Linked DNA regions of Schizosaccharomyces pombe. Each later gene encodes a partner of the first gene's protein in a complex. Each region holds a gene or a part of one and is shown on either strand. Other genes may lie near its edges.

Evidence for each region. Proteins that work in one complex are often made in the same cells at the same time.
Region 2: eaf7 (region 1) and mst1 share a complex: the UniProt entries of both Schizosaccharomyces pombe proteins name them as parts of the nuA4 histone acetyltransferase complex.

What each region holds. Positions count from the first base shown.
Region 1 is NC_003423.3:4,258,960-4,263,643, forward strand, and holds eaf7 (NuA4 histone acetyltransferase complex subunit Eaf7), read right to left. Parts: upstream 2,503-4,684; 5' UTR 2,361-2,502; coding exon 2,204-2,360; exon of another isoform or gene 2,114-2,203; coding exon 1,980-2,113; exon of another isoform or gene 1,918-1,979; coding exon 1,390-1,917; 3' UTR 853-1,389; downstream 1-852. Other genes in the region: RNA-binding protein Cip1, read right to left, coding at 3,514-4,684. UniProt on the Schizosaccharomyces pombe protein: Component of the NuA4 histone acetyltransferase complex which is involved in transcriptional activation of selected genes principally by acetylation of nucleosomal histone H4 and H2A. The NuA4 complex is also involved in DNA repair.
Region 2 is NC_003424.3:4,558,159-4,564,827, reverse strand, and holds mst1 (histone acetyltransferase, KAT5 family Mst1), read left to right. Parts: upstream 1-1,998; 5' UTR 1,999-2,052; coding exon 2,053-3,444; 3' UTR 3,445-3,591; coding exon of another isoform or gene 3,592-5,535; 3' UTR 5,536-5,727; downstream 5,728-6,669. Other genes in the region: slm1 (cytoskeletal signaling protein), read left to right, coding at 1-934; ATP-dependent RNA helicase Rpm2, read right to left, coding at 3,592-5,535; 19S proteasome regulatory subunit Rpn10, read left to right, coding at 6,192-6,217, 6,260-6,406, 6,486-6,669. UniProt on the Schizosaccharomyces pombe protein: Catalytic component of the NuA4 histone acetyltransferase (HAT) complex which is involved in epigenetic transcriptional activation of selected genes principally by acetylation of nucleosomal histones H4, H3, H2B, H2A and H2A variant H2A.Z.

The sequences.
Region 1 (4,684 bases):
CTTTGCCGTTGAATTAATAGCATCTCTCCTTGTGTTTGACTGTTTGACCAATTTGAACAATTAATTAATTCAATGAACAAGTTGCTTTCAATGTCTTTGACTAAACAATTCAAAGTTTTCAAGAATGTGTGTGAATACATCAAAGATGAAATCTACCAAGCGGAAGGCCGCTATATATATATATAGGAAAAACTTCTTACTACTTTTGGGCTAGATGCACTATTTATATCAAATTTTATGTGCTGATAGATAAACTGGTAATCCTTCTATGTGTAACTGATAGTGAGCCCTATTACCCTATCAGGTCGGTAAAACGGCGAATATCAATTCTGAATAGAGAGACACTAGGATTATCTTTGTTAGTGTACTTCCATTGTTTATTAAACGGTTTCAAGTTTAATTGCTAAAATTGTTTTTATGTTGTTGAATACTAAATATTAATGAGATTTTTGCCTCACAGTATGAAAATTATGTACGATATTAACCTTTCAAGTAAGGGAATCTACGAAACTCTATGAAGTAGATCCCGCTGCATGTTTATGTACCTGAATGCAAGCGCGTTTGTGTATTTTTGATGTCTTTTAAAGGTTTCGCAATGACGGGTTGCTCAGTTTTGCTTTGCTATTAGAGAGCTGTACTTATAGATCTATTGTGTTTTAAAAGTTGTTAAATTCGGCAGACTCTGCTAGGCAATGGTCTGATGTGCCGATAAATAATACATTAACTCATGTGAATACTCAAGTCCGTTTCACCGGAATTGAAAAATTCATTGATCAAATCGTTACCTGTGTAAGGTTTTGAAAACAATTTGCTCATCAATTTGAAAGTAATATGTATACTACCTATTGGAATCTCTCTGTCTATGCGTGTTAAACATACTTTAAAACATATTTCCAACCAAATCGACATTAACATATGGACCTATCGAATTAAAATTGAAAACTCACAGTTAGAAGATTTTTTTTAGCAAGTCAAGCTATCAAACAGTATATATAGCTACATAAAACATCGTAACGAACAGTAAAGAAGTGACGGGATTCAAAAATCGTAGCGGTAAATCAGAGTAAATTTGTTTGTAACAAAGCCGTTCGTCTTTTCCCATTACGTGAATCGAGCATCAAAAAGGAGTAAAACTGCAAAAGCAAATTAGTTTTGGACATGCCGTCGATCCCATTAAACCTATAATTCTGCTAAAACAAATCTCCTTGACATACAAAATATTAGTTGTAGTAAAATCATAATTCTTTTTATTTTTCACTTTTTATAAATCCCTTGTGATAATTAATTTTGGTCTCATATATAAATAACCGTTCATTAGAGTAGACCAAGCATAAATGATATGTACAAATAATCAGTCTTTCCCATCCTAGGTTTTTCTGTTAACAAGAGCTAGGTCGGAGGCCTCCGGCTTCGAGAGCTACGGCGAATAGCTTGGTTTGAAGCTGCCGGTGAAGAAGCAGGCTCTATGGGCTCAGTAGCCATACGCTTTGGAGAACGGGCTGTATTTTGAGAAGATGGCGAGACGGATCTTTTTCGCAAAGTCATGGAACTCTCTTTCTTTTCAGACTTTTCTTTTTTTTCGGGAATAACAGGCTGAATCTTTGGACTTTGCGGCTGTTCAGTAACAGGAGAAATACTTCTAGAAGAGGATCGTAAATTCCGAGAAATTTTCTCTTCTTTAGATTCAAGCTTGACTTTACTTTCCTTCTTCTCTTTCTGTAAATTCGTCTCCTGCTTAACTTCGGGTTCACCGGGTTTAGTTTCTACCGTTTCAATCTCCACTTTTTGAGATGTTTCCAATGGTTTCTCGGATTTTTCTTTTACTTTAAGAATATCTTTTGGTAATTTAAAATCTTTAACATCTGGCGACTTTATTCGTTTTTCTTTCGCCTTAACTTCTTCATTTCCTGGAGCTTCCTAATTTAAAAAACTGTCAACAAATACTTGAAAACAAAAAATTAAAAGGCTTTTTGACATACCAATTCTTCAAACTCTTTCAAATTATAAAGTGTTCCTAATTTATTCCAAACGTCCTGAGCCTTAATTGTTGATCTTTTGCAGCCATCACGAATTTCTCGTAAAATCCCTATCATATAAAAATTTTTTTCTATTCCTATTTTTTAATTAGTGAATGAATGCAATAATTTGATAACATGCAGCTTTTAAAATAAGAGACCGAGCAATTAACCTTTCGAACACTTACCTACAGGGCGCAATCCACGACAAATAGCTTTTAACAGTAAGGTTTCCTCTAAAACAGACCATTCAGTAACAGAATCATTCATATTTGATTCTTTATTTACATCCTCCTGCCTTTTCTGCTCGGCAGCAGTTGATGATCTTGTTCCCCTCGAACTCATAAATACAATTGCTATCCTCTAATACATAGGTTTATATGGGTAAAATAAGAAAATTTCTGTTTCTTAGTTTACTTTTTCTACTAATTTAACTTTATATTATCGGCAATATAGCAGATTATCAATATTTATGGTGTTGTGCGGTACTTCCAGCCATAACTCATGAAACTGGTTTTTATAATATTTTCTTTTTCTAGCTGCAGTAATTACAAGGTCAAGTGTATTTCATCTTTTTTCATAACCTTAACAAAAAATAAAAGTTCATCCAAAAAGAATCGTGCATCTTTGTGTTATCCTTTCTTCATTCTTAAATTCAATAGACATTCAAGTGCAGTAATTGAGTAAGGCTGCGATAACCCATAAAGTATTCTTATTTTAGTGAATCCTTTGTAACTTCCTTTAATTACAACTTACTAACAATGGAACTAAAAGTCCACCATGCTTGCAATTTCTTTTTCTTTTTTACATATAAATCAATTCGCATTATATAGGAAAATTTAACGATATTTTAGGTAATTTTAAAGTAGCTCATTTAAAGCCCTACAAGCTTGGTAGAAAATAGACTTTAAATCGTAGGTTTATTTCTATATCCATAGTACGGTAATACTAAGCTAGGAACATTCACATCCACATAAAGAAGATGATTAAATTTACAAAAATAAAAGTTCAATTTTGTAATATCAGACTAATGTATTTGTCCAAGGTTAAATTTAATCATGTAAAGTATGTGTATATTATACGGTAGGGCATAAATTTCTTATACAAGAAAAATCGTTATAATTTGTAAAAAAATAGGAGCATCGCTCATCCGTTGATTATCGTCATAAAACATTATGCCTCACCCAACATATATCCATCATTGATTGCTGTTAAGTCGAGTCGTCCAAATGTGTCGTGGGAATTCAAAACGATAAAATATAAGCTTCTAAGTATTTAAAAGGATTATTTGCTGGATAACCAACTATGTGAAAGGGAAAACAAAAAATCAACAAAATGAAGCCCATAGAGTTTAGATTCATCAGAAGTAAGTGATAAAGGGATAAAGAGCAAAATTTAGTCAAAACAAATAGCGTATAGTAAATGCATCTATAGTTGGCGTAAACAAAAATCATATCTTAAAAGGTACATAAACAGTTTCTTTATAATTGCATAGACTCTAAAAGTGGGAGACACCAAAACTCTGCTTGGAAGCGGAGGTAGAAGCATCATTATCATTTTTTGAATTGAAAGGTGAACTCAAAGTAGAAGCCTTTTGAAGCGGTGATTCATTTCCATAAATTTTGTCGTCAATCGAACGAAGTTGGTTTGTCAATGGTACTGCGAAACTGGGAGGTGGGGTTATAGGGGCACTCTTAGTACCATTCAATGAATGCTCTTGCAAAAATCGAGTAGCTAACGGTGCCGGCATATTAAATCTTAAATTTGGAGATGCAGGTTGCGACTGACTTACGCTCGTATTCTTTTTATTCGGATGAGTAACTACTAATTTTAACACCTCTCCATTCGGGCGAGCATAGTAATCGAGATCAAAGTACAGGCAAAAGATTCTAATGGCATTTAGAAGGTTTCCGTCCTTAGAAGTGGTTTCAAATGTTATTTCACGAGAAGGAATGCATTGATGAGCAAACAATAGAAGTCTACTATAAGTTTCAAGGGTACCAGTGTCATTCAAATTTAAGCCTTGATCAGTAAAGCTAACTTCAAACATCTTGTACTGCTGTTTACGACGTCTTTCTTCAGCTTGACGTTTCTTTGCTTTTTCCACCTTCTCGCGTTCTGCAGCTGGTAATTGGCGTTTCCATTCAACACGAAGACGTCTGCCATTAATTTCATAGCCATTAAGCGTTTGCACAACAACTTGAGCCTCTTCAGGACGATAAAAATTAGCAAAAGCCAATCCTCGAAATATTCCATTGTCATAGTGATAATTAAAGGCATAAGGTCTGGGAATACCTAGTTGCTTAAAATGATCCAACAATGTATCTTTCTCCAACGAGAAAGGAATATTTTTCACAACAATAGCCGTTGGAATGGTATCTTCACCGGGTTCAACCGGTGTTGAATTAGAATTGGCAGTCGATCCTGCTTTGATTTGGGTACTGTTAAAAGCATCCAACGAAGGCTCTGCGGATGTATCAGCTTTATTGCCTTTTCCACTGGCAGAAAAGCTTTTACTTTCTGAAGAAGATTCAGCACCACTAGGAGGAGAGACATTGTGGAAAGCCATAGCACTCGCCTCATTTGCTGAATTTGAGTTCCTGGACGAGAGGTACGGAGTTCCAATAGAATTGGCGCTGTTAAAAAGCGCGGAACCTTTAGAACTATTT
Region 2 (6,669 bases), on another chromosome or scaffold:
AGATAGACAAGTGCTAAACTGTTTGGCTCGACAAGTTCAAGAAGAGAACAATCACTCCGTAGCAGTGGCACAGCTTCAAGAATTTTCTTTTCGTTTCGAGCAAAACCTTATCGCAAAAATTAAAGACACGGTTAAGCAGTTTGAGGGCATGATGAATCAAACCCATGTCAAAGCTATTAATCACCTCCAAGAAGTTGTTCGCGTATCAGAAGCACAAACCCTTGCTGGCGAGTGGACCGGATACGCAAAGCGTGAGCCGGAATTTATTCATGGCTCTGTTCCCCCCCGCAGCGTTGATGCTATAAAATATCCTGGTAAGAATGACCAACCCACTGTACCTATCATGGCTGGTTATTTAATTCGTAAAACAAGTTTTTTAAAGAAAAAACAAAGAGGTTTTTATGCCTTTACACATTCTGGCTATCTTTACGAATTTAAATCTTCTGATTCACTTCAAGATCCTGAACCCGAATTCGCCCTTTACATACCTGATTGTCTGATCGGTCGCCCTTCTGAGAAGAAACCCAAGTTTAAAATAACTGGCAAGGATGCTACTAAGAAAATTTTTGGCGCGCGAAACGATTACGCGTTTCGCGCTTCTAACAACACCGAACTAATGAGATGGTGGGAAGCGTTGAATACCCATATTGCTAATGTGAACTATATACAACCTTTAAGCAACGCAAATGGTCCATCAGCTGTTTCCGACAGTGATGATGATGATGATGATCCAAATGACTTCCGTCCAGCCGTCGAGCGTCAAAGTTCTACGATGAATACCCGTATGTCGCAACCAAGCTCTGCTGTCAATACAAATCGAAGTTATGGTTCGGAACAAATTCCCTCATACGCAGATAGCCAAGGAAATTCTGGCGCCAACAACAACTTTATTTACAACGCTAGTGCTACTGGTCATAATGCTTGGAATGTATAAAGATTGTATATTCGCAAATTAGGTACGAAATGTGCTCATGTATATTTGTTACACTGCCGTTGTGTTTTAAATGGCAGTCTTTGTAACTCCCCCATACCCGTCTTAATTGTATCTTTTTGATTCCCGTTTAAAGCACTTGAATGTTGATTGTGAACCATTTTACTGTTACTGTAATGAATTCATGATAGTGTTTCTTGATATATAGTGAACTTTTGAAACACCAGTCAACAAATATATAGGTATTATATATAAACTCAGAATAAATACATTTTCTGTTCACCCATACCTGTGGCTGATGACTGTTTCAATCGGGAAAGTTACTTTTTAATGTAGCAGGTTTCATTCCGATATATCTCAACCGCTCGTTTCATGTTTATTAATTTAGCAGCTGGGATGATGGTATATACCTTGTAAATAAAGTGCCTAACATACTTTTATTGGTTTTTGTGAATTAGCTGAGCGCGTTAGTGAAGTAAATTCCCTTAATTATGAAAAGTACTTCTATTATTCCTTATTGGCATTATTCTTTTAATTGGAAACGGAAAACTGAAGAATTGTATTACTGTTTATAGCATTTTCGGTACTTTCTGGACAAATTTCGAATATACTCGTGTTCAAACCCGAGAAAAATATTTTCTAGATTTTTATATTATCAAAGAACACTAATTTTAATTGAGCATTTCAGGATTTTTGAAGTTGATCGTTTAATTTATCACAGCTATCTTGATATGTGTAAAATGAAAGTATTTATTACTCTTTTCATCCTTTCAAAAATTTTATTAATTAATTTACTTTCTATTGGAAACGAAAAGGTTAGCATCGTTTGCTGTAAGCGCAGGTTGAGAATAATTACGTCGATGCTATAATAACGAGCGAAACTCTAACTTTAAAAATCATCTCGCTTAATGAATTTCAAGGTAGCAAAGATTGTAAATTCGTCGAAATTTGCTAAACAATTTAATTTAAAGCAGTAAAGTTCACAAAAAACATACCGACATTTAACGAATCGGTAAAGAAATGTTTTCGAAACTAGCAAAACTCACCACCATGAAAAAAAAATTTTCAGGGTGGCTACACAATTTGTACATGGAATAAGTATCCACTTATTGAGACTCAAGATGTCGAATGATGTTGATGATGAGTCCAAGATTGAAACAAAGTCTTATGAGGCTAAAGACATAGTTTATAAATCCAAAGTCTTTGCATTTAAGGATGGAGAATATCGAAAGGCGGAGATTTTAATGATTCAAAAAAGAACTAGAGGCGTCGTCTACTATGTACACTATAATGACTACAATAAACGTTTAGATGAATGGATTACAATAGATAATATTGATTTATCGAAAGGAATTGAGTATCCACCGCCGGAGAAGCCAAAAAAGGCTCATGGAAAAGGAAAATCCTCAAAACGTCCAAAAGCTGTTGACAGACGACGATCGATTACAGCACCTTCAAAAACTGAGCCTTCGACGCCTTCTACGGAGAAACCTGAACCATCCACCCCTTCTGGAGAAAGTGATCATGGATCAAATGCCGGGAATGAAAGTTTACCGTTATTGGAGGAAGACCACAAGCCCGAAAGTCTTTCAAAAGAACAAGAAGTAGAAAGGTTACGGTTCAGTGGCTCAATGGTTCAAAATCCTCACGAAATAGCTCGAATTCGTAATATAAACAAAATTTGCATAGGAGATCATGAAATTGAACCTTGGTACTTCTCACCGTACCCTAAAGAATTTTCGGAAGTAGATATAGTTTATATTTGCAGTTTTTGTTTCTGCTATTACGGATCTGAGCGACAATTTCAAAGACACCGCGAAAAATGTACATTGCAGCATCCACCCGGAAATGAAATATACCGTGATGACTATATATCCTTTTTTGAAATTGATGGAAGAAAGCAACGTACATGGTGTAGGAATATTTGTCTTTTGTCCAAACTTTTTCTGGATCACAAAATGCTTTACTATGATGTTGATCCCTTTTTGTTTTACTGTATGTGTCGCCGCGATGAATATGGATGTCACTTGGTAGGATATTTCTCAAAAGAAAAAGAGTCCTCCGAAAATTACAACCTTGCTTGTATCTTAACTTTACCTCAATACCAAAGACATGGTTATGGCAAGTTACTCATACAATTTTCTTATGAATTGACCAAGCGTGAGCACAAACACGGCTCACCTGAAAAACCACTTTCTGATTTGGGGTTGATTAGTTATCGAGCGTATTGGGCTGAACAAATCATCAACCTTGTGCTTGGAATGCGAACTGAAACCACTATTGACGAATTAGCCAACAAAACTTCAATGACTACTAATGATGTGCTACATACACTTCAAGCACTAAATATGCTTAAATATTACAAAGGTCAATTTATTATCTGTATTTCAGATGGAATTGAGCAACAATACGAAAGATTGAAGAACAAAAAAAGAAGAAGGATCAATGGAGATTTGTTGGCAGATTGGCAACCTCCTGTTTTTCACCCTTCCCAACTACGATTTGGATGGTAATTCTGTACAAAGAATGGATTAGATGCTGGTCGTCTTTCTTAAAAAAAAAAAAAATTCTCATAATTAAAGTATCTCCTAGATATATATTAATGATACTTAAAGTTTGAAGGAATAGAGACTAATTTGTAACCTTTTATTTCATTTTAGTTACTTTTGTAATTTCGATATTCCTTTGATTAGAAAAGCCTCTGCTATTGCCTTGGTTTTTTCGGCTGCTCCATTTTGCAGGATAGCTGGATATCGTATACTAGCCCACATGTATGCTACTATTAATTTGTGAAGCTGCTCTAGTTGTTGTAACTCGGTTTCAGTGGTTGGAATTCCGCGTTCTAATATTTCCAAAGGTACAGACTTCAAATCATATATTTGCAGACGTTTTCCTTGAGCGATAACACATCCGATTTCCCGAATAAATAGTGGTGCGTATTTAGAATGCTTTAACACTGGGCACCCTAACAATTTGATTTTATCTTTAATGGTTAAACCTTTTATGTGGTCTAAATATTCAATAATGAATGTGCTTAGTGCTCCTTCCGACACAACAAATGGAGTAGTCGTTTTCGCTAACTTAAAGTAACGATCGAAAATTAGCTTTTGAGGAATGTCATCAGAGAATAGTGATAAATATCTAAAGAATAAATCGTCCTTAGCTCCAATACAAGCATTGAATAAGTTCTTTGTAGGAAGATTCATGGCGCGATTTAATTTCGCAAAATCTTTTTGATATAGGGTAGTTACTATTCCAGCACTTTGCTTAGATCCATTGGGATTATGTCGGCCAGCTCTTCCTGCTATCTGCTTAATTTGTGGTACAGGGATGTCTATAGTGGAAACTCCACTAAACTTTTTTAAATCGCTGAAAACAATACGCTTTACGCCTAAGTTGAGACCCATACCAATGGCATCGGAGGCCAGCAAAATATTTTCATCAGAACTCTTTGAATTAAATAAGCTTGCTTGTTGATTACGGACTTCAGGAGGCAGTGAACCATAAATAACGGCAGATTTTTTTCCTAATGCTTGATCAATTTTAGACTTCAAAGTAAAAATGTTTTTCCTTGAAAAAGCCACAACACAATCCCCGTCTTTGAGTTCACTTAACTTTCCATTTAAGCTCTTTTCTGCAACGTGGAGAGGATTTAACCGTTCGTATCTGTAAACAGTAAAATCATCTTGGGTCATTTTAGCAATTGAACGCACTAATTTAACAACACTTTCTTCTCCGCATAAATGAATTTCCTTAGCCTGCAAGCCAAGCAAGCATTGAGTCCAAGCATATCCCCGTGAAGGATCAGCCATCATTTGGATTTCATCAATGACTGCAACATCAAAAGTAGTAGATAAGTTGCACATTTCTACAGTACATGAAACAACCTGAGGGAAAGGATAATCATTTCTAATCTCTTCCCCTGTGTAAAGATTACAAGCTATTCCGTTTGCTTGCAAGCGATTATAGATTTCGTGAGCCAAAAGTCTTAAAGGGCCAGCAAATATACCTTTCTTGCAAGTCTTAAGTCTTTCTAAAGCCCTATGTGTTTTCCCGCTATTCGTTGGGCCGACATGCATAATGATATGCCTTCTGAGTTTTCTCGCTCCTGGATACCACTCAATTGGATTTTTTAAATCTGTTAATTGCTTTTGTAAGTCAGGTCTTGTTTCTTCTATTCGCTCTTGATATCGTACATACTTCCGATACTCTGAGAGTAAACAATCATGGATCTTTTTTATTTTCTGAAGGTCAAAAGTAGAAGAAGATTTTGAAAGAGCCAATGATTTATCAGAGTTTTTTAAGTCAGAAAATCCTAAATCTGTAAGGATATTCTTTTTTAACTCATAATAGTATACATTCTGAAAGACACTGGCATCCTTGCAGACATTGACAAAGTCTTGGGCTAAGTATGCTTGTTTTGACGAAAGTTCTTTGGAAGCAAATAAATATGCAGTGAAGCGATTGAGGGCAGCAGCCCACAAGGTATTTCCTGGGAATTTCCTTTGTTGAAAAACATCCTTTGATAAAGTGTGAATTCTAGCAGACTTGCTAAAAAACGGTACACAAAACGTTACGCCATGAATCAAAGTTTCCAAAAACATTCCTGGCGAGTTAAAATCTTTCTAGCAATGCTCTATTGCTGGCCGCCCTGTAACCAGAGCAAAACTTAATCCAAGTATTTAAAGTAATTTAAAAACAAGAAATGTTTATATAGAAAATTAAATACTTCTCAAACGTCTGAAGGTCCCTGGCTTTATCGCTTTTAAAAATATTACCTTCTATTAATTAAAAAAGGAAAAAAAAAGTAATAATTTGACTACGAGATTCAGTCAAGTTGCCTGCTGAGGCCTCTAATATGTTATACCAACAGCTCTGCATGTATCTCCAAAAAATTAGTATCTCAGCAGTACCCTTTAAATTCCAGTTTTCCGCTTCAGTAAATATATAAAATTTTTTAAAAAGCGTTTATTACCTACACTTGTATTATAACAATTTCACGCATTTGGTGTTGGCTTTCGATTATTTACGCGTGCTGTAAGAAATTAGAGAACCTGTGGATTCGAACAGGAAATGAATTGTGTATCACCATGTTTTTCGATGTTTCATTTTGTGATGCGTTACATATCGTTATCCGAGAATGACTAGAGAAGGTGAGTAGTAATACCTTGTCTAGTTCACTTTGCAACACATCTTCTGTAATCTACCAAGCGTTCTTTCAAATTTCTTCGCATTAAGTTTTAAATTATAGGTCTTCAAGATGGTGTTAGAAGCAACGATGATTCTGTAAGAATTTATTTTTGTTAAATTATTGCTCTAACATGGCAGAATTGATAATTCAGAATGGATGATTAATGGTGATTATATACCTACGAGGTTTGAAGCTCAAAAGGATACTGTACATATGATTTTCAATCAAAAGATCAATGATAATCCGGAGAACATGTGTGGTTTAATGACAATTGGTGATAATAGGTATATGATTAATATTACGGCTTGAACGGTACTTTATGTTCAGCTATAAAATACTTTACAGAAATTCTAATCATATTAGTCCCCAAGTTCTTTCTACATTAACCAGAGATTATGGTAAATTCTTATCTGCAATGCACGACCTGCCTGTCCGAGGAAACGCAAAGTTTGGCGATGGTATACAGATTGCGCAGTTAGCCTTAAAGCATAGAGAAAACAAAATTCAACGTCAAAGAATTGTTGCATTTGTAGGTTCTCCTATTGTT